2 linked regions of the Drosophila melanogaster genome follow. The protein of the gene in region 1 interacts with the protein of each later gene in a biochemical or structural test. Each region holds a gene or a part of one and is shown on either strand. Other genes may lie near its edges.

The links. The genes of interacting proteins can lie anywhere in the genome.
Region 2: of the proteins of CtsB (region 1) and cer, one has a biochemical effect on the other in vitro, tested with the Drosophila melanogaster proteins (one study listed by BioGRID).

What each region holds. Positions count from the first base shown.
Region 1 is NC_004354.4:13,779,302-13,783,892, forward strand, and holds CtsB (cathepsin B), read right to left. Parts: upstream 2,870-4,591; 5' UTR 2,629-2,869; coding exon 2,509-2,628; intron 2,433-2,508; coding exon 2,172-2,432; intron 2,026-2,171; coding exon 1,858-2,025; intron 1,350-1,857; coding exon 876-1,349; 3' UTR 546-875; downstream 1-545. Other genes in the region: amrt (amaretto), read left to right, coding at 3,198-3,872.
Region 2 is NT_033778.4:19,395,703-19,398,765, reverse strand, and holds cer (crammer), read left to right. Parts: upstream 1-1,993; 5' UTR 1,994-2,103; coding exon 2,104-2,142; exon of another isoform or gene 2,143-2,203; coding exon 2,204-2,404; 3' UTR 2,405-2,551; downstream 2,552-3,063. Other genes in the region: SdhA (succinate dehydrogenase, subunit A (flavoprotein)), read left to right, coding at 3,023-3,063.

The sequences.
Region 1 (4,591 bases):
TAAGCTGTTTGTTAGAAAAATATCGAGTTTCGGTGAATAGAAGAGTGGCTACAAAACCAGTCAATCAATTCACAGAAAATCGATAAGAGAAGCGGTTGGTTCATGACAAGATAACAAAAAAAAAACTGAAAATACAAAACAAATGTTCTATTTGATGTTGCAAATGAGAAAAATAAATAAAACATGTTATGTGAATAAATATGTGTACAATTTGAATGGACATTTGGTGCTGCAAATTGTGGGCAGCTTCAACGAGATAAGTTTTACATATGTATGTACATATATGTATGTATGTATGTATGTATGGCCAAGCTAACTAATGTAATAATAAATTAACTCAACAAAATCGCACCAAATGACGAATGCGATTGCAAGCTGTACTCTTTGTTTGATTAATCAAATGCGATGCTAATCACATTTATAACTCGCAAAACATACAGCTAGCCAGTTTAACGATTGAACGATTGACGGCGTTCCATTTAAATGTGTGTACATAGTATAGAGGATCAGATACTCTCTACTATTAATCTCTACTATTAAATAAAAAAGGCATAGCTACGCTAAACAATAGTTTATAGTTGGATAGTTATAGCATTGTTTCACAAATAGTATTATTCGCTTTTAATTATATCTGAGTTCCAGTTTGATAATCATTTTCTTTTTTTTGTTTGCCTTGTTTCTAGTTAGAGAGGTCCCACTGTATACGAGCAAAGTACAGTTCCACAGTCATATACAATACTTTATTATCAATCAGGTTTAGGTTGTTTACATTAACTACAAACGTCAGTTGCGAATCGGAATGAAAATAAAAGGAGGGATGATAGAAAATAGAGGGGTTTTGATATATCAGCTTGATGCCGGAATACATATAACATTTACAGCTTGGGCAGACCCGCCGAAATGGAGCTCTCGATGCCGCAATGATCCTGGCCACGCAGGATGCGGAAGAAACCATGATCGCCCCAATCGGTGTTCCACGAGTTACCAATTAGCCAGTACGGAATCTTCTCCTCGCCCCAAACGCCCCAGCCCAAAATGCGAATGGCATGACCGCCCAGCTCCTTGCCATGCTCGTGCTGATAGACACCGTCCTTGTACAGAATGAGATCCTCATAAACGGTGAAGGCGCCCTCAACCGGTCCATTGGTCATGATCTCCTCCTGAATTTCACGCACATTACGCCTCACCGAGTACGACTTGGAGCCGAAGTGCTTGTCCTTGGCATAATCGACGGTGTAACCGCTCTGGCAGACGTGCGAACACTTGGGCGTTCTACCGCCATGGGCACATGGTGGTCGGGTTCCATTCACATGGTGCTCACAGGGAGAAATCTCGTAAGGACGGCAGCCCTGCAAAATAAGTGCATATTAGAATCGTTTTTTCTTCTGTTTGCCTTACTATATCTGGGAAATGAGTTAGTAGCAGCTAAAACTTATCGTTGAGGATGTACGCGAATCTGGAGTGCATTCACAATATATGCATGTATATCTATAGATGTTCGTATATGATATATATACATATAGCTTTGTGTATATGGATGTTTGTATATGATATACTAAGCCGCTTTCTAGCGATATCTGTGGTATACAATTTTTTATGGCGTCGTAAACTGAGTCTTCAGTTCACTTCAAGTAAACAAAGAACAAAATCAAGTTGCTTTCTAACTATTTCGGCGTAGAAATACAATATGTACAAATACAGGTTATTTTTGCACATAAAGTATGTTTTTCTTCGTTAGAAAACAAACCCTTTTTTTTATTGGAAACTCATCTGCAAGCAAAACCAAATTGCAAGCCCTTTTAAACCAAACTAAATATGATTTGCAAAATCCCATTAAAGCAGGAGAAGATCACCAACCTGATTAGATCCGTAGGGTCCTCCGCTGACGATTCCCTTGCGCGTCCAGTAGCTCCAGGCGGCGCCGGGGAAACCGCCATTGCAGCCAAATCCGCAGGTGTGGCAGCAGGAGACGAGATCATCGGCCGAAAAGTGGAAATTCACCTTGCCGCCGGAATGGATGCACACCTGCCCATTGCGAAATCAGTAAAAAAAAAAAAATCATTGATAACAAATACAAAAAGAAAATAATAATAAAAAAAAATGGGGAAATTTATCAGCTGGACAAACAAAGAATGGAAGGGGTTATAATATCGATAAGGTAAGCTACGTACGCGATCGGACATGGCTTCCACGGCACCAAAGGCCCAGCAGGAGCCGCATGAACCCTGGTCGCGAATCTCGCCAATGGTTGGGCAGTTTGGCCATTGCTTGCGGGAATCGAACTCTTCGGGAAGTTCGTCAACGCTATTCACGTATAGATCGCCAAGAACTTCACGCTTGTCGGGCAGTGCGAACTTGTGCGCATCCGGATGGACGCCCATCAGGCGGCGAATATGTCCCTCCGTTACGGATGCATCGAAATTGCGACCCACCTGGCGGATAGGAAACGGGAAAATGCAATTTTCTTGTCACGTCAGCAAGAAAAGGGTTGGAAACAAAGGAATTTACCGTCCAGGTTTTGGCCTTACTGCGCACCACCTCGATGAACTCATCCGAGAGCAGTGACGGCTCACCGGACGTGAGTGCCGCCACGGAGGCCGCGGTGGCCACCAGGAGCAATAGATTCATTATTCTTGTCCAACGAATTTCCAATGCGCTGACACAGCAAAATTCAAACAAATCACAGCAGTAAAATGGTGGAAAATGACGCGTCGTATTAAGCGGGCTCTCTGCTCCGTTCTTGTTTTCGTACTGCCCGTGAAATTCGGACGGGTAATGCTCTTTAAGCGTCTATTATTCTCTTGTTTTTGTTCTGTCGCACAAAAAAAAAAAAAAATGGTTCGCGCCCGCTGATTACGCGGCCAGTGTGTGCACACCAATGCAACAGGGCCGTTGCCTATCGAATGTAGAGATGGGCGCGTGATTGGTAACTAGTCTGAAATAAATAAACGCATTATACTAAATAGCACTTCACTAAATGTACTTAACTAAAGACTACGATCACACTAATGCCAATAAATATGCTAAGGAGCACTGTTACTTGAAAGGTGGTTTATTTGCATTTATTTATTTCCATTCGTTGTCGTGGTGCTTAAAATCAGAACTATCGGTAGGCCATCGCAGATAACAGAGCTCTGTTAGCTGTGCTAAGGTGTGGCCACACTGGCTAGCTATATTTTGATAAGGAGCTCGCAAAGATGCGGATTTTCTACGGACTACTGGCGTTCCTGGTGGCCAGACAACACGATGCCCAAGCGATACAGGCACGCAGCGACAAGGAGCAGCCGCAGACTGTGGTCTCCGGCACGGCGGTGCAATCGGTGGTGCCCGTTCAGGCGCAACTGGGCTCCGGCATGGGACCCTCCTCATCGTCATCTTCGGCATCTTCCGCCTCGGGCGGAGCTGGAAACTCGGCCTTCTATCCACTGGGACCGAATGTGATGTGCTCGTTTCTGCCGCGCGACTTTCTCGATTGCAAGGATCCCGTCGATCATCGGGAGAACGCCACGGCGCAGCAGGAAAAGAAATACGGATGCCTGAAGTTCGGTGGTTCCACGTACGAAGAGGTGGAGCACGCCATGGTCTGGTGCACCGTGTTTGCCGACATCGAGTGCTACGGTAATCGCACCTTTCTGCGCGCCGGAGTGCCCTGTGTCCGCTACACGGATCACTACTTTGTGACCACACTGATCTACAGCATGCTGCTGGGTTTCCTCGGTATGGATCGCTTCTGTCTCGGTCAAACGGGCACGGCTGTGGGCAAACTGCTTACCATGGGCGGCGTGGGCGTTTGGTGGATCATCGACGTCATCCTCCTGATCACCAACAATTTGCTGCCCGAGGACGGCAGCAATTGGAATCCCTATGTCTAGACGTGTGTGATATGCCTCTGTGTCATAGCTTTAAGTAGTTAAATAAGATTAATCTTGTTCACTGATTAATTCGTAGTGTTAGGAAATTAAATTAACTTGCCCCTTATTTCATTATAAATACCTTTGTTATAAAATCATTGAAATTAATAATTTCATACATATCTATTAGATGTAAAGTAAGGATAAATAAATATTTAGAAGTACAGTTAAATAGTTTTTATATGCCTAAGACAATCAAATGACTGCCTCTTAAACCAATTGTTTTTTTAGCTTACACCAAAACTACAGCTTTGATCCGTGCAAAAATGCCCGCATAGCATCAAAAGGGACGTTTTGACTTTGCACAATCGTTTTTATTTTTAATTTTAAAGTATATTTTGTTCAATTCGAATGTAGCGCCACAGCTGTTCCAAAATTTGTTCAGTGGATCCATTGCATTTCCGACAGCTGCTTTCCATTGGGCTATCGTTATCGTATGATGGCTATCGTCCTTCGCCATCGGGAAATGGAAATCGAAAGTTTCGCGTTCAAACTCGAAAGTCAGTTGCAAGAAAGCTCGCCAACCGCGCGGTCAACGGAGACTGGCTGAGCTGAGCGGGCGCTTTCTCTTTTATTTTTCTCCATTGACGACGCTGCGTGCGCGTCGCATCTCTCCCGCAAGAAACGGCAACAACAATAAGCACTGCGCGGTGCATAAATAAAACAAACGAAAATATATA
Region 2 (3,063 bases), on another chromosome or scaffold:
AGAAGAAGAAGAAGGGTCTGCGCACACCATCGTTTTTGAAAAAGAAGAAGGAGAAGAAGAAGGCCGAGGCCTAAGCTGACCATCAGCGTGATCCGTAGGAGTAGCAATCTTGACCAACCTCCCACCATCAGCGGGAACCGAGAAAAATAACGACAATGATACCACGAGAAAATGGAAACTTTAGCCAGATCAGCAAAAGAAGCATTATATAAAAAAAAGAGAGAGGCCTAAACAAGCAACGGATGAGCAGCTAAAATCGATCGAGATGCATCTAAGGGGAAATCCCCCTCACCCTCCCTTAATTCGCATTCACAGCTTATATCTATTATAATATAATTCTAATTTTTAATTTATACGATGGCCACGGCAACACACCCTCCCCTCCACACACACACACACACAGAGAGAGATAAATGCAATTCACACAACAATTTGTATGATAAACGAGAATGAGGTTTGCAGGTGTACACGCAATATCCGACACCGCCGCTTTGTCCTAAACAAGTAACTTGCAAATATCTTCTAGATGTATTAGCTTATAAAATAACTACGCAACACACCTTACTACATGATGACATGGTAAAGCAAATGAACAGATAAAAAAGGGTACAAATTCCCAGGCAACTCTAACGACAAACAAAGATTTGTTTGAAACAAAGGCAAACTTTTGTTTTTAGACACATACGTACAAGCGTGGTACATGCATAATACTTAAATGCAATATTTTTTTAGAAATGCAATAAATTCGATGACAACAACTACAATTTGATATTCTAGGCATGTGTGTGTTTTGTGAAAGCGCGTTTTATGTTTTTGTGTTCTTTTGTTTTGTTTTTAAATTCCGGGCAGCCACAATTTGCACACAAAACGAATAAATAATTATTGTATACATGCAGCAATTGTATTAGTTTTTTATATAAATAATTATATATTTTTATGTACGTAAAACTGTTTATACATACATATACATATATATATTTATAAAAACCAATAAATTATGAAGAAAACGAAAATCCAAAAATACACCACGCCCGCATTAAAACATGCGATTACTCTGAGGAAAGCAGAAACAACACAATCACTGAGAATGGTTGGAATTTTCCAAAAATTATCTCCAAGAATCAAATTTCAGCATTTCTTTTGTAAGTAGATGTGCTTGATTTGTAATCGCTTTTCCATTTATAATATTCAAATCGATGAATAACGAATACTGCAATTAACTATATACGACTGCCATAGCATGTAAAACTTTAAGGCACAACTTAAACGCATTTACATTTCAAATTAACTGACATAAAATTAAAACCCCGATGATTAATGCCAGATAAATCGAATGTTTCTGCTTTTCCTACCCAAACCCACCACCACATTGAAAACACTCTCTTTACAACATAATACTTGCATTGCTGAGCCTTAGACAAACAAACAAACAAAAAAAAAAAACGGCAAAATATAAAGTATAATTAAACTGATTATTTGCGCAACGACAGAAGCTTATTTCTAGCAACTTTTTTGCGTCATTAAGGCGAAAAAGTCTGTATAATTTTGTCCTTAGATTAACATTAGAAATATGTCAATATTCTCACTCTGTGCAAATAATAAAAAAACTTTTGAAAAAAGCAAACGAGAAGCCGAAAGTTTATTCATAAAATTTGTTTAGAGTGTAAGAAAATGCATATAAATATATATTTAAATTCGTATTATACACAAGAAAAAACACGACACACACGAAGAAGTAAACACGTAATAAATAAAAACTTGAAAATTGTACAAAATTCAAAAGTATTTGAAAAGAGGTTTTTTTTATTTGTATTTATTTTTTGAGTAGTCATTCCAAAAAATGTAACAATGGTTTTGCATTAAATGTTTATAATGTTTGAGAATTTAGCATATGATTTAAATCGAATTTGAATAGTATCCGGTTTTCATAAACGAGGGCCCACTGTTATTTATGTTTGTTTTTCACCGAAGTGGCATCTCTGATCAGCTGCATATATTATCGTTTCTTTGTTGTGTTTATATGTTGTGACTCAGTGCGAAACCGTGATAAAACCTGAGAATTGAAACGAAATTTAGTCGGTCACCAAAATTACAAGTGTCAAGATGTCCCTGGTTTCAGATGAGGAGTGGGTGGAGTACAAGGTAGGCCCAATATGTCCTAGCAAGCGACGCAATATTTAGAAATCACTTGATTCCACCATAGTCCAAGTTCGACAAGAACTACGAGGCAGAGGAGGATCTGATGCGTCGTAGAATCTACGCCGAGTCCAAAGCCCGGATTGAGGAACACAATCGGAAGTTCGAGAAGGGCGAAGTGACTTGGAAAATGGGAATTAATCATTTGGCTGATCTCACGCCTGAGGAATTTGCCCAGCGTTGTGGCAAAAAGGTGCCGCCAAATTAACAGAATCTCAAGTGAATCTCATTTTAAATAGACATTTTGTAAAGACACTAATCTCTCTGTAATTCTATAAATATGCATTTGAATTTTTAAATCTTTATCGTTCAACCACCCCCAAATAAACAATAAATCAGCTGTTTTGTACATTTTAAAGATTTTGGGATTTTTGTGTTCTGGCCACTTTGGCTGGGAGAAAAACAGTTCATTAGGTTTTGGTTCAATGAACGAAGGTTTATTTATCTCTACGATATATGCAAATAAATACGTACGGCTGAGATGGTAAAATTCCATTCCAAAAATATGTATGCTTGTACGCGGTATCTATATACATTTTGAACTTAAAGCGGATTAACGCCTTTCTGCGATGAACTAGTTCCGGTTCAGCGTTCATTGAGCGAGTCAGTGAACCGAACTGCAGTGCCGACGAGCGGCAGTTCACACACAACATTTGAAAGTTTGTAAACTTTTCCTTTTTCGATCACATAGACACATCGATACACGTAGTTATTTGTTTTTATTTTGTACCAACACCAAACACCCCATCTTACAAGCGCGTAAAACCTCGTTTTCGGTCCAATCTCTTGCAGAATCTTGCAGTAGAACCTCACAGCCCAGCCAAACATGTCCGGAATCATGCGTGTGCCATCGATTTTGGCCAAAAA